Saccharomyces cerevisiae S288C: one gene and its partners. Changing the gene in region 1 together with any one later gene gives a genetic interaction. Each region holds a gene or a part of one and is shown in the gene's direction. Other genes may lie near its edges. The genes, in order: THP2, RPA14, UBP3 and SET3.

The links.
Region 2: mutations in THP2 (region 1) and RPA14 together harm fitness more than expected from each alone (negative genetic interaction), as found in Saccharomyces cerevisiae (6 studies listed by BioGRID).
Region 3: mutations in THP2 (region 1) and UBP3 together harm fitness more than expected from each alone (negative genetic interaction), as found in Saccharomyces cerevisiae (5 studies listed by BioGRID).
Region 4: mutations in THP2 (region 1) and SET3 together harm fitness more than expected from each alone (negative genetic interaction), as found in Saccharomyces cerevisiae (7 studies listed by BioGRID, with this or other methods).

The regions. Positions count from the first base shown.
Region 1 is NC_001140.6:437,464-440,627, forward strand, and holds THP2 (Thp2p), read left to right. Parts: upstream 1-1,878; coding exon 1,879-2,664; downstream 2,665-3,164. Other genes in the region: anaphase promoting complex subunit CDC23, read right to left, coding at 1-1,587; putative GTPase MTG2, read left to right, coding at 2,914-3,164. UniProt on the Saccharomyces cerevisiae protein: Component the THO subcomplex of the TREX complex, which operates in coupling transcription elongation to mRNA export. The THO complex is recruited to transcribed genes and moves along the gene with the elongating polymerase during transcription.
Region 2 is NC_001136.10:763,238-770,438, forward strand, and holds RPA14 (DNA-directed RNA polymerase I subunit RPA14), read left to right. Parts: upstream 1-6,287; coding exon 6,288-6,701; downstream 6,702-7,201. Other genes in the region: NUM1 (Num1p), read left to right, coding at 1-637; putative mRNA-binding protein CTH1, read right to left, coding at 941-1,918; GIR2 (Gir2p), read left to right, coding at 2,469-3,266; ENT5 (Ent5p), read right to left, coding at 3,499-4,734; peptidylprolyl isomerase CPR1, read right to left, coding at 5,275-5,763; YDR157W (uncharacterized protein), read left to right, coding at 6,694-7,095; HOM2 (aspartate-semialdehyde dehydrogenase), read left to right, coding at 7,120-7,201. UniProt on the Saccharomyces cerevisiae protein: DNA-dependent RNA polymerases catalyze the transcription of DNA into RNA using the four ribonucleoside triphosphates as substrates. Component of RNA polymerase I (Pol I) which synthesizes ribosomal RNA precursors.
Region 3 is NC_001137.3:467,119-476,670, reverse strand, and holds UBP3 (mRNA-binding ubiquitin-specific protease UBP3), read left to right. Parts: upstream 1-4,246; coding exon 4,247-6,985; downstream 6,986-9,552. Other genes in the region: GTPase-activating protein BEM2, read left to right, coding at 1-326; membrane insertase OXA1, read right to left, coding at 443-1,651; PET122 (Pet122p), read left to right, coding at 1,866-2,630; YER152C (2-aminoadipate transaminase), read left to right, coding at 2,683-4,014; SPI1 (Spi1p), read right to left, coding at 7,855-8,301; PEA2 (Pea2p), read left to right, coding at 9,201-9,552. UniProt on the Saccharomyces cerevisiae protein: Has an ATP-independent isopeptidase activity, cleaving at the C-terminus of the ubiquitin moiety in natural or engineered linear fusion proteins, irrespective of their size or the presence of an N-terminal extension to ubiquitin.
Region 4 is NC_001143.9:495,156-504,180, reverse strand, and holds SET3 (histone-binding protein SET3), read left to right. Parts: upstream 1-4,347; coding exon 4,348-6,603; downstream 6,604-9,025. Other genes in the region: SPO14 (phospholipase D), read left to right, coding at 1-2,837; GMH1 (Gmh1p), read right to left, coding at 3,078-3,899; SAP190 (Sap190p), read right to left, coding at 6,823-9,025.

The DNA.
Region 1 (3,164 bases):
TGAAGCTTTTATGGATCTTTTGTAGCATTTTATAGCTTCTACCTTATTTCCCGTCTTACTATAACATTCTCCCAATACTTGCCAAATCCGACGATCCCAAGGTTTCAAAGTGCAAGCTTTCTGGAAGTAGTAAAGAGAATATAAATGCATGTCCAGGAGAGCATAAGCCTGGCCCAAACCAAACCATGCTTTGAAGTCTCGAGGGCATATATCTACGGCCCGACGATAGCATTCTATTGCGGCATGTGAATTGCTTAGTTCAACAAATTCGTGACCCATCAAAGTCCATGCGTTTGTTGTTTTTTTATCCAAAGTTAGTGCTCGACGGAAATACATGATAGATTTTTCATGTTCCTGTCGGGCACTGTAATAGTTCGCTATGATACAACATGTTTCCGGTCTAAATCTATCTATTTGGGAGACGAATTGCGCCAAATAGGCTAATTTTGAATTCTTCTGCATGACGTATAGAATATTGGAGTAGGTTTCCAAATCGTTGAGACGGTACGGATCTTGTTTAACGATGTCATCAAATCGGCTTTCTGCGGTAACATAATCCAAATTGTTGTAACTAATAGTAGCATTGTAAGCCTTTAAAAAAGTGAAATTGGGGAAAACTTGTAACAAAAACTCTAAATCTTCAAAGTAGTCCTCTAACTGGCCATTAAGCTCCTCAAACACTTTTAGCTTGAAAAATTTGATCATTATATTAAATTCTATCGTTCGTTGACTACCAAGATTTTCAGAAAATTTGAATTGGAAATTTTGATATAGATAATTATTTAAAAGCAATGCATCGTCAACCTTTTGTAAACAGTCCATTAACTCCAGCCAGCAGGACCAGTTAAAGGAGTAGCAACTCAGAGATTTCAAGAATGACGACATTGCCTTAGAAATATTCTTCTCTTGCTTTAAGATGACCCCTCGTAAATAATACAACAGTGCTAACCCTAAATCGGCCTCATCATCGTCTATCTTTATTTCATAAGACTCCAGAAATGTGTTAATTTCCTTCAAAATAGATGATATGTTCGATTGTGACTCATGCTCATTGCTGACCATTTTTAAATTGGCGCGTTGGTGCCCACTTTGATTTATATCCTCATTCCCACTACCATCCCCATCTTTGTTAGCTCTGTACATTTCGTCCGTAAACTTCCCTGTAGTTAAGATATTTTCCATACTTTCCTGGCTTTTCTTATCCCACGATAGAAATTTACTGTATAATTTTAAGAACTTAAGGTATGGATTAGTGACATCTTTTAGAAAAAAAACGCATCGATCAAACTCTTTAGCATCAAACAACGTAGAACCAAGGAGGTACAGGTCATACTCAGTCTCTGATAGGCCAAACCCGTTTTGTGGTATTTCAAACATCTGTTTCGGTACACCTTGTTTATTTCTTAGTGGCGATTCATCGGCTAAAGAGTGTGTTTGATCAACATCAATAGCTTCTGCAAGACCTGCTAGCGCCTCTGCTGCCCACTTTGAGGAGCCGTATAGCTTCCATCGTGATAATTCTGTGGCAGCCTTTCGTAGCTGAATACGTATATCATGTATTATTTTATCCTGGCTGTCGTCATTCATGGTTCTAAATGCTTCACAATCTGATTCTGATCAGTATATATCCAGATTTCAGTTTTCCGCTCGCTAATACTCCCTTCTTCCTCTTAATTTGATGTGAGTACCGCAGTACTTGGTCTGCTATTATGAAGTGTTTGTTTTACCCGAAGTGCTTTTTATGTACGCGCATTGAAAAATAATAGAAACTTGGTAAGTAGAATACTTAAGAAGCTGCAGAAGTGCAGTATCTTACAGTAAGAAACAACAGCGACTAGTTTATCAGGTTTACACTGCTCAAGTTATCAAGTTCATAGCATGACAAAGGAAGAAGGTCGTACGTATTTTGAATCTCTCTGCGAGGAGGAACAAAGTTTGCAGGAAAGCCAAACCCACTTATTAAATATTTTAGATATATTATCAGTATTGGCAGACCCTAGATCATCTGATGATCTGCTTACTGAATCCCTCAAGAAGTTGCCTGATTTACACAGGGAGCTGATAAATAGTTCCATCCGCCTGCGATACGATAAATATCAAACAAGAGAAGCACAGCTTTTGGAGGATACAAAAACTGGAAGGGACGTTGCAGCGGGAGTACAGAATCCTAAGAGTATTAGCGAGTACTATTCTACTTTCGAACATTTGAATAGGGATACTTTAAGGTACATAAATTTACTGAAGCGACTTTCTGTTGATTTAGCAAAGCAGGTGGAAGTGTCTGATCCATCAGTGACAGTGTATGAAATGGATAAATGGGTTCCATCTGAGAAACTTCAGGGTATTCTCGAGCAGTACTGTGCGCCTGATACTGATATACGTGGTGTAGACGCTCAAATCAAGAACTATCTAGATCAGATCAAAATGGCACGTGCCAAATTTGGTTTAGAGAATAAGTATTCCTTAAAGGAAAGACTCTCTACTTTGACAAAGGAACTAAACCATTGGCGAAAAGAATGGGACGATATAGAAATGCTTATGTTCGGTGATGATGCACATTCTATGAAAAAAATGATCCAGAAGATAGATTCATTAAAGTCTGAAATAAATGCTCCATCGGAAAGCTATCCTGTAGATAAAGAAGGTGACATAGTTTTAGAATAAGCACATTTTATTTAACCAGCCTGCACAAGTTAGATAGAGTTATACATACTTGTTGAGTGGGAGGGAAGAAAGAGAAAAATTGTATTATTTTTTAAAGAGCTTTTTAATATTTTATTTGTTCTATCTATTATTTTCACTTCCCCGAAATAGTACTGAAGGAAAAAACATGCTGGTTTATTTAGCGTTTAATAGGATGTGTACGTACTGAGAATATCATCAAGAATCAGTCCTCGGCCAGAGCATCTAGATATGTCGATAGCTTGGTCTAGCGTTTTCAAAAGAGAATTACGGCTTGAAAGATTTTTACCAAGAGTATATTCGACGAAAGTTCCTGATAATGCACCAAGAGCGGCTGACAATGAACAATGGCTAGAAACCCTAAGACCTATAACTCACCCAGAACAGAAAAAGTCCGACCATGATGTCAGTTACACAAGACACATTAATGTTCCTCTGGGCGAAGTCACTTCTGTCAACTATCTACAACGGTATAATAAGCA
Region 2 (7,201 bases), on another chromosome or scaffold:
AGATATAGTAGCATCATTTATGTCACGTGCAGGATCTGCCAGTAGGACGGCATCTTTACAAACTTTAGCATCATTGAACGAACCAAGCATAATACCCGCGTTAACCCAAACCGTCATTGGGGAATATTTGTTTAAGTATTATCCACGCTTGGGACCTTTTGGATTCGAATCACGTCATGAAAGATTCTTCTGGGTTCATCCATATACCTTAACTTTGTACTGGTCCGCTTCTAATCCCATCCTAGAGAATCCTGCCAATACCAAAACAAAAGGTGTTGCCATTCTAGGAGTAGAAAGTGTCACAGACCCAAACCCATATCCAACAGGATTGTATCACAAAAGTATTGTTGTTACCACAGAAACTAGGACTATTAAGTTTACTTGTCCTACAAGGCAAAGACACAATATTTGGTATAATTCATTACGTTATTTACTTCAAAGGAACATGCAAGGGATAAGTTTAGAGGACATCGCTGATGATCCAACAGATAATATGTATTCAGGAAAGATTTTCCCATTGCCCGGCGAAAATACAAAGAGCTCCAGTAAAAGACTTAGCGCATCGAGAAGGTCCGTATCTACAAGGTCTCTAAGACATAGAGTACCACAAAGCCGATCATTTGGCAATTTACGATAGTTAAAAAAACTAAATAACTCTAAGTAAATTAAGAACAATAATAATCATTATTTCGATTTTTAGTCCTGTAAACACGTTTGCCACCGATGAGTAACACTGAAAGATCAGAGAAAGAAAAAAAAATTCTACCTAATGAAATAAATAAACTAAAAAGATTAAATTAACTAATTCTCATGTTAGTAGGTCACGAATTCTTTAATTTTGTTTTGTGACTGAAATAAATATGAAAACGATAATGAATAAATAAATAAGGAGAGGCAGCAGAAATACGCCAAATATTCAAAGGGCTTTGTTGTTGACCGACTACCAAGTCATCCTTTGCAATGCTTTAACACTAGTATGTAAGTTCCTAGGCTTACTCAAATTAGTGATATTATCGTTGTTGCTTGGGGCTAGGGAAGTAGGAAGTGGAGTCAACGCCGTATCCTTACTTCTTCCATCGTTAGCATTTTGATATATTTCAACGTCCTTATCATCACCGTGTTTGAAACAGCAACGCTTACCGTACGGACAGTAGCCTAACTTCGACCAATTTATGCAAGGTTTAGTTCTATAATTGTTTGATTTTTTCTTGAATTTCAGTTCATTAAGACCATGAGCAAATTGGCATTTATTTCCATACTTACAATAGCCTTTAATAGTAAAAGATTCACAGAGCTCAGTTTTGTATAAGGTCTTATTGACTAATTGAGGAAGCTGCAAAGGTGCCCTTCTACAAGGTTCCAGTTTTGTTGTTTTCTGAATTGGAAGTGTGTATGGAAGTCCAGTAGACTGAGAATCCACCTGAGATAGTTTTTGTAAATTCTCCGCTGTCAGGGGTAATGAAAATGCACTTGTCGTGTAAGTAGGGTTAATCTCAACTTCGAGTGACCTTTTCTTACGTTTTTTCTCAGTTGTAGCAAGTGTTGAGATGTTATTATTGCCTGCGAAAGGGTTATTAATAGGTAATGTATTTGTAGGTCTGGAATCTGATATGATCAAGTCTTTAAAATCTCCCAACGGATGATAACAGTTTGGTTTGGATGGTAACCAAGGAGAAGGCCTTGGTGAGTATTCACTTAAAATGTCCGTTTCATTTATATTATGCCCCTCGGAGCTGCTGCTGTCATCATTATCGGTATTTTCATTGAGCAGTGTCTTTATATAATATTCTTCGATTTCTTTAATCTTTGACTCGTACTCCTTGTTGAGATCAGAAAAGATCGAGGACGTAGTCGTTGAGGTCGAATTGGCATTCGGTATGTTTAAATAGTAGCTGTTTGGAGCAACATTCGGCATCATGGCTAGTGTTAATCCTTAATAGTTCTTATTGGTTGAGTTGCCGAAGAGACTGTGATATAGGGTTCTACGGCTTTACAATCAACTTATGGGTGAAGAGGCTAAATAAGATGTGACTTGTTAAGAGAGCAAGCGCAACAAGAGTGCAAAACCGTCACACTATGTCCAATGATCTACACTATCAACCTTTGAGTTAATGTTCTCTGATCCAGTATATTAGTAACTGCTCACACTGATCAAGAGCGTGAGAGAATACGAGCGAAAAAGAAAGAAGAAAAATTTGGGTGCCATTGGCACAGACCCTAAAAGAGATGTGAGAGAAGTGGGCCATATATGTATATTTTTCCCGAATGTCCTAATAAGTAATGATTGGAAATCCTAGGTCTATAAACTCGGGTAACAGAAGGTGGAAAATGAAAATTTTCTATTTTCCAATTGTAAAATCAGCAGGCATCGTTAGATTGGCTTTAAAGAGCTGAGTTTCCCATGCTGTCGGTTGGTATAATTTAAGGAAAAGCCCTCCCTCCATATCCAGAAGGCACTTGTTAATACTATGGATTATAAGGAAGAACAGAAGCAGGAACTAGAAGTTTTAGAGTCCATTTATCCTGATGAACTGAGGATCATAAACGATGAATACCCAAAGATTAAATTTGAAGTAGCCATTAAATTAGAGCTGGATACAGGTGATTCTACTTCTGTTTTAACCAAAGAGCACACTATAATCGCCGAATTCAAGTTACCAGAAAACTACCCTGACGAACCATGCCTGATTTCATTGGAAGCTCAAGAAGTAGCCCTCAATGACAACGAAGAAGATAACGAGGAAGATGAAGACGAGGTTGAATATGACGACCATGGTAATAAAGTACTGAAAAAGTTTGAAAACCTGCCAGATTTAATAAGCTTTAAGGGGTACTTGCCTGAATTAACCGTACAATTAGAATCGCAAATCGAAACCGATATGTTATTGGGTATGCAAATGTGTTTTGCATTGATTTCATCCATAAAAGAAAGATGTGAGCAATGGTATAGTGAACAATTGAATAAGCTCGAGAAGCAGTACGAGCTGGAAGCACAAGAACGTGAAAAGAAGGAACAGGCCAAGTTCCATGGTACTAAAGTCACAAGAGAATCGTACTTGGAATGGAGGTCTAAATTTCGCCAAGAACTGAAACTGGATGAAAGAGACCAGGTGAGAAGGATGAAGGCTCATCATGGGAAGCTAACCGGTAAGCAAATGTTTGAACAAGGCGTGGTGGGCACAGGCGACGAGTATATGGAAGAGGATGACGCGAGTGTAGATGACGTAGCCAAGGGACTTGCCAAGACCGAAATAGCAAATCAATAAATACTTGTGTACTTAAGTATTTAAGTATTTTCTTCTGCATGGATAATGACATATACAAATGTATCTATATAATATTTTTTTGATATTCAATAAAAAGAAAACTGACATTTGAAGAAGGAAATAGACAAGTTTTTAGTAAGATATTATTAGTGTATATATGGATACATATATCTGAGAATGAAAATTTGTTGACTGTATTGAATGTATTGGGAGATGAAGGGGTATTTGGTGATTAGACCAACGACTTGGAGTAAGAGAATAAGTCGGAAAATGCATCATTTCCCTTCGACTTGTCCTTTGTAGCCTGAGGACGGGCTTTTTGCTGTTTTTTCTCCGCAAAGGGCAATGATGTTTGCGCAGCAGCGGTGGTATCTGTGTCTGACTTTGGGCCATCCCAGTCAAGCAAATCATCTATTTTACTATTGGAAGTTTTAGGTGCTGTTGTGTCGGGACTCGTTTCGCTTTGGAAGTCGCCAAACTCATCATCATCATCATCACTATTGCTGTTGATATTATTGTTTTTGTTGTCATTATTACCATTGTCTATTGTTATATTATTCGTGGTGCTAGTACTATCGTCAAGATCGATTAAGTCAGGGATGCTATCTTGTTGTTGCTTTCTTTTCCTCTGCTGTTCTTTATTTTTGATCTGCTCTCTTAATATCTCCCTTCTTTGTCTTCTTTGTTCTTCCATATGAGAACGCCTGCGAGTATTCGAATTTGCTTCTGTTTCCACAGGAACATTGAAGTTGGTCACATTATTAGCATCCATTTCACTGTCAAAGCCATCTGCATCTGCATCAAATTCATCGTCGTCGATGTTATCGTAACTTGCAGACGTTGAAATCTGGTTGGCATTATAAATGGAGGATTCTCCTTGCTGTCGAATTTTCAAGGCATTCTTCTTATTCTTGGCTCTTTCCTTTTTCAAAAATTGTGAGTCTTCCAAGTATTGCAAGATAAGTTCTCCCTTTTTCCTAATACCTCTCTCATGAATCTCCATTTTACCATCATTGGAGAATTTTACCTTGAATTGGGCAATCTCCCTGGTTAAAATATGCTTATGAGTGAGCAAACATGATCTAATCTGATTCAGTTCGTCACCTGTGTCGACGTTCAATAATAGGAATTCAATGACTACTAGACATTTTAAGACCACCCTCCATTCGGACCCATAATTAACGTAGTCCTTTCTTGCCTTTTCGTATAGGTTCTTGGGCCTGGTAGCGATATGGTCGACTAATCTTTTCAACGTGTATTCTGTCATCAAGTAGAGCGGCACTTGGTATCTGTTCCTTAAAACCTTGGCGAGGTGCTTCGGTGTGGGGCCCCAAGCATCGGTATTTGTAGCACGACGGATATCTATCTGATAAGGCTCATATTGGACTATCACGTTTTGGGCAAACCTTGCGGCATTTCTAATATCATGGATACCTAAATTTTGAATCTTTTTTGATAATGAGTCCATTTTGTATGGTGTTGGTATTTATGCAATTGGAACGTTTAATTTGTGTATATGAATTTCCCTTCCGATTTGTATATTGGATAGAAATATAATTTTTTAAAAAAAGTAAACTATAAGCAGCCTGGAAAGATAAGCTAGACCAATTCTTATTGATAAAAAACTAAAGATAAATTCAACCGAAAACTAAAATCTAGATTGAAATTAAAACAAGAATGAATGAATGGATCAAAGGACCTGAATATGAAAAAAAGTGCAGGAGAAAGAAAATTTTCTCGCTGTGGAAAATAAGCCGAAAATCCGTTACCTAGAGGAAAGAAAGAAACGTGGGAAAAACAGGGGGCGGTACCCGGCGGCGTCAACTTAACAGGCATAACCTAGGCGGTAGTTGGCTAGTTGGCAAGCCTGGCAACATACTCCGATATAGGTAGGAAGAGTTAGTTATAAGAATTGATTGTCATACATACACATACCTTATACATATACATATAATTTAAGAGAGAATAGTTCGTTTCAATTTTTGCTGTATTGTTCCAGGCAGAGCGGTTATAATTCACCGGACTTGGCAACAACAATTCTAGCCTTGGTGGCACCGGAAGGAGAACCCAAGGACTCAACCTTCTTAACGATGTCGTAACCGTCAACAACTTCACCAAAGACAACATGCTTACCGTCCAACCATGGGCATGGAACGGTGGTGATGAAGAATTGAGAACCGTTGGTGTTTGGACCGGCGTTGGCCATGGACAACAAACCTGGTCTGTCGTGGTGCTTCTTGAAGTTTTCATCTGGGAATTTGCCACCGTAGATAGACTTACCGCCGGTACCGTTACCAGCAGTGAAGTCACCACCTTGCAACATGAAGTCTGGAATAACTCTGTGGAATGGAGAGCCAGCGTAGCCGAATCCCTTTTCACCGGTACATAGAGCTCTGAAGTTTTCTGCAGTCTTTGGGACTATGTCGTTGTACAACTTGAAAACGACACGGCCAATTGGTTGGCCATCAGCTTCGACATCAAAATAGACTTGGGACATGGTAGTATTAGCGGTTGAGTTTGGATTGAGTTGAGATATTAAATTCAAGACAAATCTTAATATAACCTATCTAGCGAAAAAGGAGGAACAAATGATGACGACAGTGGCAAAAGGATAGAAGGCTCAAGAGAATACGTTTATATTTATACAGGGAATCGAACAGACACTTGTCAGCGTAAGCCCAACCAAAGTGAGAAGGGCCACGGCCATTACCAGAGACAGAAATGAGTGGAAGCGCGTGGAAGCCCGTCTAGCAGAGGAAGAAATTCGAGACGAGGCGGGACGTGGCGGGCTGGGCGCCCCAGAAAATACCGTAGAGGACGAGGGGGGCGGTGGAAACCCCTAAGGGGCGAAAGGCGGGTAACATCTAACAGCGACGGGTAAGCATATTGCGGGTGTAAAATTTTTCATTTCGAGCTTACTTCAAGATGATGCATATGTTTAAATCACATTGATTATAGAGGTCTCATCGGTAAGGCAGAGCAGAACTGGAGACGTCTGAGGTAAGATTTCGATAATACAAGATGATGAAAGGTTCTAGAAGAACAGGTAATAACACTGCTACCACGCTAAACACGCCTGTGGTCATTCATGCCACGCAGCTGCCCCAACATGTCTCTACTGACGAGGTTCTTCAATTTCTGGAGAGCTTTATCGATGAGAAGGAGAACATTATTGATAGTACTACCATGAATACCATCAGCGGCAACGCCGCTGACGCGGACGCTGCCGCTGTGGCTAACACCAGCCTCAACATCGACACCAACCTTTCCAGCTCCATATCGCAATTAAAGAGGATTCAGAGAGACTTCAAGGGTCTGCCACCCGCCCAAGACTTTTCCGCCGCGCCCATTCAGGTCTCCACGACGGAGAAGAAGGAGACAAGCATAGGTGTTAGTGCCACCGGCGGCAAGAAAACTACATTCGCCGATGAGTGAGACCTGTAGCAGCAGCCTTGCCCTTTTACACAAAATCCTACATATCCATTCACATACGCCTTCTGTATACTACAATATATGCATATCAGTTAGAATTCTGACATCTGAACGTCTTCAGTGCTTTTTTTTCTCTTTCTTTCCAGATCCAAATATCACCGGCAGCGGCCTCAAAGTACCCGGTTTTCTTTTTTTTCACACTTTTTTTTTTTCCAAATCATGTTGTCAAGCATTGATTGACTCATTTTCCTCTGACTACTACCAGTTCAAAATGTTAGAGAAAAATAGAAAAGCAGAAAAAATAAATAAAAGAACCATATTTATTTGTTCATTCACTTTCGAGTATAAAATTAAATCTTGTTTTTCTTGTTTTCACTTAAGTACACATACAAATTAAATTGTAGAAATAAAGCGTTCTAAAATGGCTGGAAAGAAAATTGCTGGTGTTTTGGGTGCTACTGGTTCCGTTGGTCAACGTTTCATTCTGTTGTTGGCAAATCACC
Region 3 (9,552 bases), on another chromosome or scaffold:
CTATGGTGAACGACTTTACCGATTTGGCGATTAAGTATAAAGCACATGCAATGGTAAATGAAGAATACAAGAGAATGATGAATGAGTTACTCCAAAAGTTACCTACATGCTATTACCAAACTTTGAAAAGAATTGTATTTCATTTGAATAAAGTACATCAGCATGTTGTAAATAATAAAATGGACGCATCAAACTTGGCTATTGTATTTTCCATGAGTTTTATAAACCAAGAAGACTTAGCCAACAGCATGGGGTCCAGATTAGGTGCAGTTCAGACAATCCTGCAAGATTTTATTAAGAATCCAAATGATTATTTCAAGCAATAAACAATTTTCGTGGTAAATGTATACAATCCACTGCTGAGAGAGAAAAAATTTGGTCCCGCCTATCGAGGGTTTGAGTTTTATATTTTTATATTTACAGAGAGATATAGAGCCTTTATTCATTTTTTGTTATTAATGAAGTTTGATTTGTGAACAATTTTGATTTTGGAATTCTGCCTCTTCTCCTTGAAGCTTTCTTGTAACTTCTTCTCATTATCTTGCATCAATTGCCTTCTTTCCGCCTGATCTCTTGCCTTTTGAATGTTATGTTTTAATGATTGGAAGATGCCCATGTTCTCTGTGGGGGAAGCGCCAGCGATAGGAGTCCTTGGTTTAGCTACTTCTGTTATCTTCAGTTTCGAACGAACCCATTTGTTTCTCAAAATCATTGTCTGTAGGACGGAGAAGGCACCATTAAAGGCAAAGTAGAGGACCACAGCGGACGATAAGTTCATTGTGGCCGGTATAGAAATGATCGGTAGAATAGTGAAAAGACGCTTCATGGGAGAACTGAATTGTTGAGCACCAGTCTCACCCCCCAGCCTTGTAAATGAGATGAACACAGCGGCAGTGATTACTTGCAAACCTAAGTAAGGGTCTGCTTGAGTCAAGTCTGTAAACCAAGCGACACCTTGATTAGCGAACCCATCTACTGGGTAGTTAGCCATGTGTCTCAATGCGTTGAAAAACCCAAGGGCGATTGGAATTTGTAGCATGGGTGCGGCCAGCCATCTGTTCTTAATGCCGTGCGAGGAGAGCAGTTTTTTCCTTTGCATGGCGACTAGCTGACCTTGTTGCAAATCTGTAGTGGACATTAGCTTATTATTCAAGGCGTCCAGCTCGGGCTTGATATGGGAATTTCTAGCAACAGTATCAGAGGACTTGACATAGAGGGGAAACATCAGGCATCGAATGAGGATGGTGGTGGCCGCGATAGTTCCCCACCAAGGCAACCCAGAGTAAACATGAACGGCCTCCAAGACGTGTTGGATAATGTCCGAGGGCCAGTACCAGGTTTGGGCCAGGCCAATGCTATTTAAGTACCCTATATGGGAGGACAACTCGCCCACTGTTTGGGTCGTGTTAGCGATAAGGTCCGAAGTAGAAGCGGAAAGAGAAGGAGCTGAAGAGGTTAATTCATCGATGGAAGGCAACTGGGTTTGGATTTCCGAGACATCGTTGGCATTTGGGCCCGTCGAATTAAATCTTTTGGCCTGAAAAGAGATCCATGACGGATGGGGCCGGGGCAATACTATGGTTCGAGCGGTGGCCAGTCTGGAAGAGGCAGCAAACCTTGACGTGACGAGTCGAGAGGTGAGTTTGAACATCGTCGGGGAGGTTATTCTGTGGCTCCGCTTGTACGTGAACAGATACGTATAGAGGGCGAGCCACTGGTTAAATTTTTCATGGCTCGGATTACTTCCGTACTGCTGGCTAAAATCGAAATCTCGGCCTGCTGAGAGTGTTTTGAGCAATCAAGGGAACATCTGAACGTGGAAGAGCAGACGAGGCATTAGCTCGAACATAAGAACGGAACACGTCATGTTGACTATCACGAAAAGACTGGTGACCACCGATGTGCGGTCGCGAATACTGTTAAGCAGTTTAAACGGGAAAATGTCCGATGCACTGGCGCTGCTGCGTCAGCAGCAGCAGACCAGCGTGGATGTGGAGCTGCTGCACACGATGCTAGCGCGAGCCGCTGCGCTTGCCCATGCCGACACTATAGCATACATGTGGTATCAGCATGTGATGCCACGCCGGTTGCCAGTAGAGGGCCGCCTGCTATGTGAAATGGCTGGCGTAGCATTGTACCAGGACAGGCTCTTCTTACCCGCGCAGTTCCTCCAGCACTACCAGGCGATGAATCGCGATCGTCGCACCAGCCCAGAAGATGAACTGATTGAGTATGAGCTTAGACGGATTAAAGTCGAAGCGTTTGCGCGTGGCACAATGCACTCCACGGCGCTCAGGGAAAAGTGGAAGGTATTCTTGCAGGAGATGGATACGCTACCAGGGCAGCCGCCATTAAGGCTGCGCGACTTCCCGCAAATGACCAAGGCTATGGGCATAGCATTGATGCAGCAAGATGAGCAAGCAGCTGCCCTGGCGTTGTTTGGACGACAGCCCCTAGTGATAAAGAACGAATGGTCACTACCGCTACTACTGGCTGGTGTCCTTTGGCATGTTCCCGGCCCAGCGCAGGCGCGACGTGTGCTGGCGGAGTTCCGTCAAAGTTATCGCGGGCTGCCGCTGCTGGATGCCGAACTAGTGATAAAGAGAAGAGGATTTGAAATCAACACATAAATCTGGGTGGAGCATCGCTGTAACAAGGAACAACGCGTGCTAGCAAGCGGTAATGAAATACAAGGAAATCAATTTCTTCAAGGGCCATCCGAGCTCGAGGTTGCTGCCTCGAGAAGCAGTAATTCAAGCGACTGCGGCTATATTGGGGCCCGAGACCAGGGAGTACGATAACGACCCCTATAACAGGCATCCGCTGACGTACGGTTCGGACGAAGGTGCCCTGTGGGTGCGAGAGCAGATTTGTACGTTTCTGAATGATCAGCTGTTTAAGTTCGAAAATGGGGCTCGGAGCAGGACACGGGCAGACTATTTGAATCTGAATAGCGGCGCTTCGTATGGCATGCTGAACATCCTTCTGCAAACAACCTTGCCACATAACGGGTATACCAGGCAGGCGTTCATCATCACGCCAACATATTTCTTGATCAACAATTGCTTCACAGATGCGGGATTCAAGGGGAAAATGACCGCCATCAACGAGCAGGGCCACGACTCGATTGATTTCGAGTCGTTGATTTCTGCCCTTGAGCAGCACGAGGCGGAGCCGCAGCCCCATAGTACCACAGAGATGATTCAGGGGCCAAAGTTGACCAAGAAGGTCTACAGGTACGTTATGTACTGCATCCCGACGTTTGCAAACCCATCGGGAAACACATACTCGCTTGAGACCAGACGCAGACTTATCGACATCGCTCGGAAGTACGACATGCTGATAATCACTGATGACGTGTACGATATTCTAGATTACACGACGCCCTCAGATGAGCTGCCCTCTCCGCCCCTAAGGATGGTGCACATAGACAGAAGTACAGCGCCCTCCGGTGAGGACTCGTTCGGGAATACAGTGTCCAACGCAACTTTCTCCAAGCTGATCGCCCCTGGGCTCAGATTTGGATACCATGAGTCAATCAACGCGAATCTCGCCAGACAGCTATCTAAAGGTGGTGCAAACGTCTCTGGCGGAACTCCCTCACAACTGAACTCCATGATCGTGGGTGAGATGCTGCGTAGTGGTGCCGCCCAGAGATGCATTGCACATCTGAGATCCGTATACTCCGAGAGGGCCACTGTCTTGACCTCGGCGCTTAAGAAATACATGCCCCTAGGAACCGAGATTATGCCATTGAAGGGCGGCTATTTTACTTGGATCACTCTCCCACCAGCGTACAATGCCATGGAGATATCCACTATTCTTGCCAAGAAATTTAATGTCATCCTTGCCGACGGCTCCAATTTCGAGGTCATCGGCGATGAGAAAAACTGGGGTCAGTCATGCTTTAGGCTTTCTATTAGTTTCTTAGAAGTTGATGATATCGACAGGGGCATTGAGCTGTTTGGTGCTGTTTGCAAATCTCATGCGATCACCAATAACATAACTATGTAGAAGGAATACGTATATAGGTGAACGGTAATAAGAGGGTAATTTTTCTACGGGCAAAGGCAAGGAAGAAAAAGAAAAAGAAGGAAAAAAATATAATGTGATAAAACAAACAAGCAGCGAAAAAGCGAAAGGGAAGAGAAGTGTTTCTAGAGAAGAAAGTCATTTTAATAGTAAGTCAGACTCGTCTGCTACCATCATCCAGGTACCGCTTTCCTTTCCATCATCATTAAAAAAAATGAACATGCAAGACGCTAACAAAGAAGAGTCGTACTCGATGTACCCGAAAACCTCTTCTCCACCACCACCTACGCCAACCAATATGCAGATTCCTATTTATCAAGCGCCTTTGCAGATGTACGGCTACACTCAGGCCCCATATCTATACCCCACACAAATACCTGCCTATTCGTTTAATATGGTCAACCAAAACCAGCCAATCTACCATCAAAGTGGCAGCCCACATCACTTGCCTCCGCAAAACAATATTAACGGCGGAAGCACTACCAATAACAACAACATTAACAAGAAGAAGTGGCACTCTAATGGCATTACCAATAACAATGGAAGCAGCGGTAATCAAGGCGCCAACTCTAGCGGTAGCGGCATGAGCTACAACAAATCCCACACCTACCATCACAATTACTCTAACAATCATATCCCCATGATGGCCTCTCCAAACAGTGGCAGCAATGCGGGCATGAAAAAACAGACCAACTCTTCCAACGGCAACGGTTCTTCGGCTACTTCACCATCGTACTCTTCCTACAACTCTTCTTCACAGTATGATTTATACAAGTTTGATGTCACTAAATTAAAGAATCTCAAGGAAAATTCATCAAACTTGATTCAATTGCCACTGTTCATAAACACTACGGAAGCAGAATTTGCTGCGGCAAGTGTCCAAAGGTACGAATTAAACATGAAGGCTTTGAACCTAAACTCTGAAAGCTTAGAGAACTCATCTGTAGAAAAGAGCTCTGCCCATCATCACACAAAAAGCCATAGTATACCAAAGCATAATGAGGAAGTAAAGACAGAAACACATGGGGAAGAAGAAGATGCTCATGATAAAAAACCACATGCGAGCAAAGATGCGCACGAGCTTAAAAAGAAAACTGAAGTAAAGAAAGAGGATGCTAAGCAAGACCGTAACGAAAAAGTTATACAGGAACCTCAAGCTACTGTTTTACCTGTAGTGGATAAGAAGGAACCAGAGGAATCTGTTGAAGAAAATACTTCCAAGACATCTTCACCTTCACCATCTCCTCCAGCAGCAAAATCCTGGTCCGCCATAGCATCAGATGCGATTAAAAGTAGACAAGCTAGTAACAAAACAGTCTCCGGATCGATGGTCACTAAAACACCAATTTCTGGTACGACCGCAGGCGTTTCATCAACAAACATGGCTGCGGCGACTATAGGTAAATCCAGCTCTCCCCTGTTGTCCAAGCAGCCTCAGAAAAAGGATAAAAAATACGTTCCACCTTCTACAAAGGGTATTGAGCCACTGGGTTCGATTGCGTTAAGAATGTGTTTTGATCCCGATTTCATTAGTTACGTTTTACGGAATAAAGATGTTGAAAACAAAATACCAGTCCATTCCATTATTCCAAGAGGCATAATTAACAGAGCCAACATTTGTTTTATGAGTTCTGTGTTACAAGTGTTACTCTACTGTAAGCCATTTATTGATGTAATTAACGTTCTCAGTACACGGAATACCAATTCAAGAGTCGGCACATCATCCTGTAAATTATTAGATGCTTGTTTGACTATGTATAAGCAATTCGATAAGGAAACCTATGAGAAAAAATTCCTAGAGAATGCTGATGATGCTGAAAAAACCACGGAAAGTGATGCAAAAAAATCATCAAAATCCAAGAGTTTCCAACACTGCGCCACTGCCGATGCTGTCAAACCTGACGAATTTTACAAAACTTTGTCTACTATACCGAAGTTCAAAGACTTGCAATGGGGCCATCAGGAAGACGCAGAAGAATTTTTGACCCACTTATTGGACCAATTACACGAGGAATTAATTTCTGCAATTGATGGCTTAACCGATAATGAAATTCAAAATATGCTGCAAAGTATTAATGATGAACAATTGAAAGTTTTCTTTATTAGAAATTTGTCACGTTATGGAAAAGCAGAGTTTATCAAAAATGCTAGTCCTAGACTGAAGGAGTTGATAGAAAAATATGGCGTGATCAATGATGACTCTACCGAAGAAAATGGTTGGCATGAAGTGAGCGGATCTAGCAAAAGAGGCAAGAAAACTAAGACCGCTGCCAAGAGGACTGTCGAGATTGTTCCATCACCAATCTCCAAACTTTTCGGTGGCCAGTTCAGATCTGTGTTAGATATACCGAACAATAAGGAATCTCAATCGATTACACTCGATCCGTTCCAAACAATTCAATTGGACATTTCAGATGCTGGTGTGAATGATCTAGAAACTGCATTCAAAAAATTTAGTGAATACGAATTGCTACCCTTTAAGTCCTCGTCAGGGAATGATGTCGAGGCCAAGAAGCAGACTTTTATTGATAAATTGCCGCAAGTTCTTTTAATCCAATTCAAAAGATTCTCATTCATAAATAATGTGAACAAAGACAACGCAATGACGAACTATAACGCGTACAATGGACGTATTGAGAAGATCAGGAAAAAAATTAAATATGGTCACGAGTTAATCATACCTGAAGAATCAATGTCTTCCATAACATTGAAAAACAACACCTCAGGGATTGATGATAGAAGATATAAGCTAACCGGAGTTATATACCATCATGGGGTAAGTTCCGATGGCGGTCATTACACAGCGGATGTTTATCATAGCGAGCACAACAAATGGTATAGAATAGATGATGTAAATATTACCGAACTAGAGGACGATGACGTTTTGAAAGGTGGCGAAGAAGCTTCTGATTCGAGGACTGCCTATATTTTAATGTATCAAAAGAGAAATTAAGACGGGGGGTGGTATTATAGACAAAATACATAAAAAATAATATAGCAATAATACAATACAATACAATACAATACGATAGTGAGCACGATTTTAAAAAAGAAATAGAGACAGACAGAGAAACAGAGTTACACTTTATGCTTGGCATATTTAAAAAATGATTTCGCCCAGGATCGAACTGGGGACGTTCTGCGTGTTAAGCAGATGCCATAACCGACTAGACCACGAAACCAATTATTTCTTGGAGATGAACATTTAAGAAACAAATACCTTGTAGAAGGAATGTGAATTTCAAAATATTATGGCCTTTGGCAACAATGGAATCACAACAATTATCACAAAACTCATACATCTCTTAAGATTCATTTCTTACTTTAAGTAATCATCCAAATTTAGCCAAAGTTTGATTTTACCTAAAAAAAGCAGAGGATTCCCGATTTCAATCATATGTGCACAGACGATGAGTCCAACACGTTATCGTTAACATAGTGCTCAATATTGCCACTGCGCTTCGCAGGAGCATATTTCGTATACGCCAAGCCCAAGGAGGGTTTTGTCATTAAGCAGCTTACGCCAATTAAGTGCTAACCTCGAAGCACCATACTTTATCTCAGGATTTACAAACTCCCTATTGCACAACGGCAAACAACATAATCATGACCAAATGGGTAAAAAAGATGAGCTGTGAAAAAGCCAAAAAAAAAAAGGAAGAACTAGAATTACATTTATTATTCTACACACAAAAAGAAAAAATAGTTTCTTTATTTAAATGATTTGAAGAAAAAGAACTATAACGACTACATCGAAGAATACAATATTAGTAAAAAACACATGTCCTGTTTAAAATAAGTCTCTAGTTAAAGACTATTCGATCATAAAAGCATCATAACTGCACCAGCCAAACCTAGGGCTCCTGGGATTGCTCTTGCGTTAGCAGCATTAGAATTTGTCTCCACATCATGTGTAGAAGAAACCGATGTTTCTGAAGTAGGCTTCTCGATAGTGCAAGGACAGTTGGTAATTGTTAACGTAGTTGGGGCAGTAACAGTGAATGTAGCGCCATTCGTTACGAAAGTCGTTGGTTCTGGGCAGTAAGTAGTGAATTCACTGACAACTTCGTACTGTGTTGCAGTAGCAGTCGAGTTGTAGAATATTGGAGCGGCGGATGATGGCTCTGGTGCTGGCGTGGCTGTATCGTTACCGGCAATAGTAGCATCGCTTGATGGTACCACGATTACAGAGGAACTAGAATTAGATACCAATCCGAGAGCCGTAGAGGCCATGGCCAATGATAGAAGGAGCTTAGCGTTAGACAACATTATTAGTAATAGTACTGATTTTATTTTTGTGTATTGGATTCTTTTTGAGTAGAAAGTAAGATCAAGAGAGTGCAAGTGAAAGACGAACCTGGCAAAAGTAGGCCGACTTTTTATATAGATATACTTACACTTTTCCAGCTAACAGGGATGGAAAGCCCTCATTTGGGCATCTGGGAACTTCGAGAAGTTTTTTTCTTCATCTGGCATAAATTCTTCCAGAGGAGGCTATAACAATAGATCTTCTAACAAGCCGAGGGGTGAGGGGAAGGAACGTCATCGCCTAAATGGGATATCAATTAACCAGATTAGGTAACTTGCGTCCCGGACCTTCAAATAAATACTCGCGGGATTCGGGTTCGAGCCCCGATAGGGGCCCCCAGTCCCGGCATGGCTTTAACCCCATATGTGCTCCTCCAGAGATTAAGCACTAAAGGCTAGATGAGACAAGCACTAATTTCAATGAATTAGCTTTGAATATGATATTTCTTCTTCCCCCGTATTCAAAGAGTCTACTCCTCACGGTTACAATTGAAGATACACTAAAATTCGGTCCATATTGACACCGTTGATGAAGCGTCACTTCTGGATTTTTAGCATAAACTTAAAATATCTTGCATTGTGTACTATTACAGTGGTCCAAAGACGTTCTCCTCTCGCCTTGTTCCAAAATCCCAAAATGTTATGTATGAATGAATGAGGGAAACGTCAAAAATTTTTCATTACCTCGCCACAATTATGCCTTTTCTTGCAAGTCGCGCTCGCGTCAATAAACACATGATGAGTATGTGTAAAGTGATGATGATGGTATGGTAACAAATAGTTGAGCTGAACAGATTACAAAAGATACTATCGAAGTCCTGTGTTCGAGAGGGAGAATAACGGTGGATATCACGTTTCATATGCATAAATTTGATCTAGAGCTCTCGAGAAGAGCGAACCCTTTGCTTTTTAGTGCAGAACGATACGAAGAGTATCCATTGAAATACGATGAATTGAAACAGTACCTTCTCTCCCAAAATCCGTCACATCCGCATCACAATAGTAGACCATACACTTCCATTGACTATTTTGACTATCTTCTGTATAGAAGTAAAAATGACGAGTCAGAAATAGACCTTGACAAAAAGCTAGTGTCTGAGTTCGCCCTATACTACGTTCAAAAAGAGCACTTGAACTCTGATGATCTAAATCCCACACTCAATGAGTTGCTGAAGCTGCAGCCGAAGTCTGCGGATTGGTATGAAATGATGC
Region 4 (9,025 bases), on another chromosome or scaffold:
GTTGTGCAGAAAAAGGTATCAAAATTTTTATTGTGATTTATAGGAATGTGGGGAATATTGTTGGGACAGATAGTCTTTGGACCAAGCATTCTATGCTAAATTTACATCCAAATATACATATCATAAGGTCTCCCAATCAATGGCTACAAAATACATATTTTTGGGCACACCACGAGAAGTTTGTCGTTATTGATGAAACATTTGCATTTATTGGTGGTACAGATTTATGTTATGGTAGATATGATACTTTTGAACACGTTCTACGAGATGATGCAGAATCTTTATTAGATCAAAATTTTCCTGGTAAGGATTATTCAAATGCCAGAATTGCTGATTTTCATGATTTAGATAAACCATTCGAATCAATGTATGATAGAAAAGTCATTCCGAGGATGCCATGGCATGATGTGCAAATGATGACTTTGGGTGAGCCAGCAAGAGACTTAGCCCGACATTTTGTTCAAAGATGGAATTACTTATTGAGAGCTAAGAGACCTAGTAGGTTAACTCCATTACTAACCCCGCCTTCAGATTTAACTGCTGAAGAATTGAAGAGTTTGCCGATGTTCGAAATTCTACGCGAAAAATCGACTTGTGAAACTCAAATACTTAGAAGTGCTGGGAACTGGTCTCTTGGGCTAAAGGAAACGGAATGCTCAATTCAAAATGCTTACCTGAAGTTAATTGAACAAAGTGAACACTTTATTTATATTGAGAATCAATTCTTCATTACATCAACTGTCTGGAACGGGACTTGCGTTTTGAATAAAATTGGTGATGCTCTCGTTGATAGGATAGTCAAAGCTAATCAGGAGAAAAAACCTTGGAAAGCCTTTATTCTTATCCCACTAATGCCAGGATTCGATTCTCCAGTAGATACTGCAGAAGCCTCAAGTCTTCGTTTAATTATGCAATTCCAATATCAATCAATTTCAAGAGGTGAACATTCTACATTTAGTAAACTGAAGAAACTAAATATTGACCCAGCTCAATATATTCAGTTCTTTTCACTAAGAAAATGGTCGACTTTTGCGCCTAATGAAAGATTAATCACCGAGCAGCTCTACGTTCATGCTAAAATTCTGATTGCTGATGACAGAAGATGTATTATAGGGTCTGCTAATATTAACGAAAGATCACAACTGGGTAATAGAGATAGTGAGGTGGCAATTCTTATTAGAGACACCGACTTGATAAAGACCAAAATGAATGGTGACGATTACTACGCGGGAAAATTTCCTTGGGAATTAAGGCAGCGATTAATGAGGGAACATTTAGGTTGTGATGTAGATCTTGTTGAGTTTGTTGAAAAGAAATTTGAAAGGTTTGAAAAGTTTGCTGCAAAGAATTATGAAAAACTTCATACCCTAAGTAAGGAGGGAGATAGTGGTAACAATTGGAGCGATCGAGAAATGATCGATTCCGCTATGATTGAGCTAGGTTATCGTGAAATATTTGGTTGTAAATTTAGCCCTCAATGGAAGAGTGGTCATGGAAACAGTGTTGATGATGGAAGCACTCAGTGTGGCATAAATGAAAAAGAAGTGGGAAGAGAAGATGAAAACGTTTATGAAAAATTCTTCAATTCTGTGGACTACGGTAAATCATCACGTAAGAGAACGCCTCTGCCCAAACATAATTTTGCATCTTTAGGGCTAACATTCAACCACAGGGCAGGAATTGAAAATGTCGGTATACGAGACCACAAAGTCTTAAGTACTGATCCAAGATTAAGAAAGAATGATGAACATAAAAAAGAGGTTGATGGCTACGGTCCCGATTGTTGGAAAAAGGAATCCAACAAAAAATTCAAGGCCGATGCAACTGAACAGCTAAAGGAGTGGGCATTGAACTCATTGGCCTCGAAAGTTCTTGACGATAAAGAAATGATAAAATCAGAAATTCCAGAAGGATTTTCAAATTATTTGCCCAATGAGAAAGATCTAGAAATGTATCTCACGGATAAAACTGTTACCAATAGAAACAAATGGAGTATGCTCAAAAGGATATGCTACTTGCAATATTTATCTCATAAACTCGACGAAAGAAAAACACAGAGATTGAAGAAAATCAAAGATATGAGAAGACATTTAAGTTCAAGCACAGAAAGTACCAGAAATGGGTCTAATAGTCTGCCATTAAACGAAAAGAGCAATGAAGGAGAAAGCACTAATGTCGACCAAGATATCGAAGGCGATGAATATCATAGATTGCACGAAGATATTTTGAAAAATCAAGAACTAGATGATGGTTCACTGGACGATCTACTTTCTCAGATAATTCCTAAGATCACTAACTTTAACAGTGGTGAAATTGATGACGCAAAAAAAGAAGAGTTATTGAAACTCAACTTCATTGACCCGTATTCCTTCGAGGATCCTCTTATTTCTTCGTTTTCTGAAGGGCTATGGTTCACTATAGCCTTGAGAAATACATTACTCTATAAATTAGTGTTTCATTGTCAACCCGATAATGCTGTACAAAATTGGAAAGAATATGGAGAATTTACTGAATTAGAACAAGAATTTCAAATAAACCAGGAAAAGTTGATTGACTTAGAGGCTGAAAATATTAATTCTACTACTACAAATGTTGTAGATAAGGATAGGGAAAAGGAAAAAATGAGAAAAGCCGCTGAATTGAGAATGAAGTTATCCGGTAGTTTGCTTTATGGATTCAATCAAAAGGTTTTTGACAAACATACGGCGCAGAGAATCTTGGAAAGGATCCACGGTCATTTGGTCATTTTCCCAACCGAATGGTTAGCTAAAGAAGTTGAGAGTAGAAATTGGATTTTTAACTCGGATAGACTTTCTCCAATGGAAATCTACAATTAAGGGAATATAAAAACGACCAGGAACACACCATTACCTGTATTTTCCTTTTATCTGTTATAAGCATTCGACGCTGATACATAAACAGTTTTCATTATGCATTCTTTTGGTCCATAGTGTCATTATTGCTCTTATTACTCATTGCATTTTTATACTTCAAATATATATAATAATAATATCATTATGTAATTTATGTGCTTTATCTTAAAGAACCAAATTTTTTCTATTTCCGTGTTCAATTGCTTAATAATTGTAAAAGCTTAATTTCTTGGATAAGTCGATGCCAAATAAACTGATTAAATAGATTATCGATAATCCTAATGTTGGTAAAAGTATAAAGTTCAAATTTTTCAAGAATGGCAACTGGTTGTATCCATAAAAGGTTAAAATAAAGTAATGGCCAATAGCAAAACAATATAACGAATTACCAATGAGTAAGGAAATCCAGTTTTGTAAATTAATTATGGGCAGTAGTAAAAACTGAATGAAGTATAGGCACAGTAGGATGATTAAAAATGAATTACAATGAACGTCGAAACAATAAGCCCACTCTACCACACTATTTTGGCTCGATTTGAATTTAAAATGTGACCTATTCAACAAAAGGTAAAAAATAGTTGCCATAATAAATCCAAATATGAAAAAATCTAAAATCACCATCATTACCAAACTTTTGAAAAAATGACCTATAATGCTCAAGGCCCCCATATCACTGTCGTTGTTGAAACCTGAATTATAAATCGACCAAATAATAGAACTGAGTGAAATTAAGGCTATTTGGAAGATGAAAAAGGAAGGATCATCTCTCGCCCACTGATTTTTCGTCTGTCGCTGATAATATATTGATCTATAAGCTTTTCTTGGATGGAAAATCAAATGGAACATTTCCCAGCTGGCTGTCTCGAGATCTAAATTCTTTGGCGTTTTGAAAAGCCTCCTGATTACCATCGGCACAGATTGCTGACCGTAGCCTTGTCTTGCATCGTTTTCATTACCATTATTACGCCTCCTCTGGCCTTGCGGGCCTGCTGGCAAGTCGTTGGAATAAGTCGGCAAATATGACATTGATAAATCCGTTGACTAAGTAGTGGCAATCGAAAAATTATAGTGCAAATCTGTTTCTTTCTGGCTTTTTGCAGTTATTTCAACAAAATTTAAACCTGTTAAGTTTAATATTCTAGTAAGGTCTATTGGTAATTATTTAACCGTTGGAAGTGATCGTTGTATGAAATTATCATTCTAGATTACAGGTAGTCGATACCTTTTATTATAATACTTTTATAGCATGGTATATTATTCGTAAAAAAACATTAAAGACATGAAACTAGTCCTTTGTTTCCCTGGAAATTGTTCAACCAACTCATTCATCTTACTATGTCATGATAGATGCATATCATTATCAACGACATGCTATATACAGAAAGTAGTAATAAAGGACCTTTCTAGTAAACATGATTTAAAGCGTATATACAACAGTTTTAGATCGTACTTCACAAAATACGAGAACTGAATCATGTCAGTACCTAATTCCAAAGAGCAGTCGCTCCTAGATGATGCATCCACATTGTTATTGTTTTCAAAAGGGAAAAAAAGAGCTGAAGAAGCTTCAAAAATAGGCTCTAAAACAGATACTATTGAGCATGATGAGTCTCATGAGAGAGAAAAAAAAGGAGCAATAGAAATGGCAGCAGCAGCACTGGCTACAGCATCCACAGTTTCTTTACCTTTAAAGAAAGCTACTGAGCAATCGGCGGCAGAAGCAGCAACATCCACGGCAGCAAAAGAAGAGACCGAAAATCAACCTCAAAAGCAACCTCAATGGCCGGTACCTGATTCGTATATAGTCGATCCTGACGCGGGTATAATTACATGTATATGTGATTTAAATGATGATGATGGATTCACTATCCAATGTGACCACTGCAACAGATGGCAGCATGCTATTTGCTATGGCATCAAAGATATTGGGATGGCACCTGATGATTACCTTTGCAACTCATGTGATCCAAGAGAGGTAGACATTAACTTGGCTAGGAAAATACAGCAGGAACGCATAAACGTAAAAACAGTAGAACCTTCTTCATCAAACAATAGTGCTAGTAATAAGAATAACGGTCGGGACAGAGCATCGAGTACAACTATTAGTGACGTTGGCGATAGCTTTTCAACGGATCAGGACAATACTAACCACAGGGACAAAAGAAGGAAAAGAAACCCATCAAATAATAGTATAGACTCCAAAAACGAAAGCGCTTCTGTCAATTCTTCCGATGGATTGACTTCTATGCCCAAGAAAAAAGAGCATTTCCTGAGTGCAAAAGACGCATATGGTGCAATATACTTGCCCTTGAAAGACAATGTGTTTAAAAGTGATCTGATCGAACCGTTCTTAAATAAACATATGGATGATAATTGGGTCATACAATATCCTCATAAGACCTTTAAATCTGTGTCAATTGAAGTCAAACCGTATGCTGACATTGCATATTCCAGGACTTACCCAGGCTTCACGAAATTAGGAGTTTATCTCAAAAAGGACTGCATAAAAGGTGATTTCATTCAAGAAATTTTAGGCGAATTGGACTTCTATAAAAATTATCTCACTGACCCACGAAACCATTACAGGATATGGGGTACAGCTAAAAGAAGGGTCATTTTCCATTCCCATTGGCCGATATATATAGATGCACGCTTATCAGGCAATTCAACTAGGTATTTGAGAAGAAGTTGCCAGCCGAATGTTGAATTAGTAACTATAAAACTGCAAGATACAGACAATAGGAATGACAAAAGCAGTGGAAGAAAATCAAGTAGAATAAAATTTGTTTTAAGAGCTTTGAGAGATATTTCAGAGGATGAGGAGTTATACATCAAATGGCAGTGGGATTCAAAACATCCTATATTAAAATTAATAAAGGGCATGACAATAGACTCTTTAGATGACCTTGAAAGGTATGGGCTGATAAATTCGGTAGAAACAATTTTGAGTAACGGCGAATGCGGCTGTGGAAATAATTCTAAAGATTGTTATTTATTGAAAGTGAAGAGATACGCGCAAAGTCTTTATAAATCTGTGAAATCCAGAGGAAAAATGAACAACAGATATAAATTAAATGAAATTCTCAACCAATATAATTGCAAAAAGAGACGTGAGCCACCAATTTTGCATAGGCTAGAAGAAAAGGCTCAAAATACTATAGAAAGAGCTCCAATACTTTTGAATAATTTTTATCGACAAAAATTCCTTAATCGAAATAATGGTCCAAAAATTCCTCAAAAGAATACTATTGATAGTACAAATAATCCTGATGATATTGCAAAACCCTTCAAATTCGCCTTATTTGCACAACATTCTTCTAATATTTCTGTTCCCAAAAAAAATGAAACTTCAGAAAAACCTTTAATAATTACGAAGAGCACAGATTATGACGAATCACACATTACCAATATTGAAGAATTACCAATTCCAGTTCTTTTACCAATAAACAAGACGTCAAGGCAAACTGCAAACGATGTCGAAGAGAGTCAATCAAAGAATGAACATAAATTAAGTAGAACCCCTTCTCTTTCAAATTTCAATAAAGAACTGTCAAAGGAAGCACAACACAGTCAAGCAAAAACAAAAGAAATCATGACAGAAGCTTCGGTTAATTCAAGGCGAGAATCCACTCCAGAAAGTATAATGCACTTATCAGATTTTTCGTCCTCACAACTGCATTCGAAAAAGAAATTAAGCTTTGCGGATTACAGAAAAAAACTACTGAAATAAACATGGACATTTCCTTCTTACACCTATATAAACTTAAGTATATTCAAAAGTGAATATTCATTATTCTTTATAAGATTATATTCGGTTAATATTAAATTACAAGCCTCAATTAAAAAAGTATATATTTGATGAATTATAAATGACCTATATGCGAAAAAAGTGGAGCAATAAAAAATTGATGAATAAAGGGTGAAAATGTGACAATGTGAATGTTTTAGTTCAGAAAGCTTCTTTACTTCTTGACCTATATAATGAGTAGCCCTCCTCATTGCCCATATCATTCTCTTCATCTTCATCTTCGGAGTCTTCTTCATCGCTTGATATCTCGTTATCCATTCGATCATCAACACTGGTGCCTAGTGCCACTTCTTCGTCTTCGCCATTATTATCCAATGCGGATAAAGAATTGAAAAGAATAGTCTTCGGTCTTGGTGGTGTTTTCGGGGTAGTATACAATGGATTACCAGGTCTGGCATATGACTGGCCATCATCATTAGGATCCATATAGTCATCGTCATCGCCAACACCTTCAAAGTCAAACTGATGGTGAAAAATATTCTGGTCTTGCAGTTTAGGATCTGAAGGTTGTGACCTACTAGGAAAATGGTCTGGAGGGAACAATGAAGTACCCGATGTCCATTTGTCACTCCCGTTTTCATCATTGTCCTCATTATAGAGACTATTGCCATCCCTATGTTCAGATATTTTATCGGTAAACTCTGATTCGGCACTTTTGGATTTACCATCATCACTATCATAATCATCGTCGTTAGTCTCGACGTTATTATAGTAATTTTTATTATCCACATCACTATACTCTGCGTAATCTTCTTCATTTTCTTCATTCTCGTTATTATTGAAGTTATAATATAAATCCATGTTCCCAGAATCATGCCCGTTACTAAGAAGTTCATCGTTTTCTCCATTTCCGTAGTTTTCGTTGCCCTCTGTATCACCAATTATATCCTCAGAATCAGAATTCCTAATAACATCGTCATCGCTTTCTTGGTCATTGCCAAAATCTCCCAAAACGGTGTTATACTTCTCTCTTGTATCAGCCAAGATCGTTTCACTATATTCTTTCCAAAATGGTTCCTCAAGTCGATCTGAAACAGCGGTATTGCAAAAAGTTAGCTTCATTTCATCAATATACTCTTTGAACTTCGATATTTCTTCGGCAACTAATGTCAAATGACCCATATAACCATAACGTAAACCGGTCTTTTTTTCATAGTCTTGACATGCCTTATCCGCATCTACTATCTTTTTAGTTAGGTATGCATCAACCAAATAATCTTTCAAGAGGAACCTATTATAACCAGTTTTGAGGGGACCATTGAATATTTGCTGGGCAATATCAAAAATTACATTATGCAAAAAATTATTCCAAGGGAACTCAGTGAACATATCAAGGATACTAATCAGTATCTTAGTGTCTTCTAGAGCAATCTTCAGCCTGTCTCCAACTAGCGGTTTTTCCCTTAGGCATTCTCTCACGGATTCTGTGTCAGACAAGGTTTCATCATACAACTCTACTCCAGAAGCATCATTTTCTAGCCCCTCAACTACCTTTGCGTCTGATTTCACATCTAGTTTTACACTTGATACCCCAGTATCATTTAATTCATCTTCTTCACTTCCTTGATTATTTATTTGAAGAGCGCCTAAATTTTCTGTGATATCCTTCTCTACGCAATCCTTATCATAATATGATGATTTATTGTCCACAATAGCTGTTATATTTTCCTTTTCGGTTGAAGTTTCTAATTCTTTGGCCCTTTCTATATCACGTTCTTGGGCAATCATCTCACCATTGGGCTCATTTAGCAGCGTCATATTAGAACAGTGCAATAGTTCTGCAATAAGTTCACAGATTTTAAACCTCTCAAATCCCAGAGGTTCAATATTACCGAATGGCATTTCCATTAGTGGCAACTTGGTTTTATCCAGCATATCAGCAAAATCAGGCATATGCTTAGCAAAAAGTTTGACTAAATGTATCAAGTGAATTGGATCTCGATCAGTGGGAGGGTGACTTTCTAGGGTAGTGTAGACTAGTTGGATGAAATCATAATCTGAGTTATTCTTCCTGATCAACTCTATGATAATTCCAACACCATTACTTAAGGATGTACCGCCCTTTAGCATTATCTTAATCAACTTTTCTATCATTTCTTCTGATACTAATTGCCTTGTCAATTCATTAGGACCTATTCCCGAAGCAAGTTCATTGCTTGAGTTAGTGCTTAACGTGACGAATGCCTTAATAAAATCGCCTGCCGCAGACTGAGTGGAAATACCGTATTCTGGATTAAGATGATCTAAAAGTTTAGGTATTAATTCCTGTGATTTTAGTATCTTTATGACACCCGTGGGAGAGTCAGGTTTATCCGTCGAGATAACTTTCAAAAGGAAGTCCATC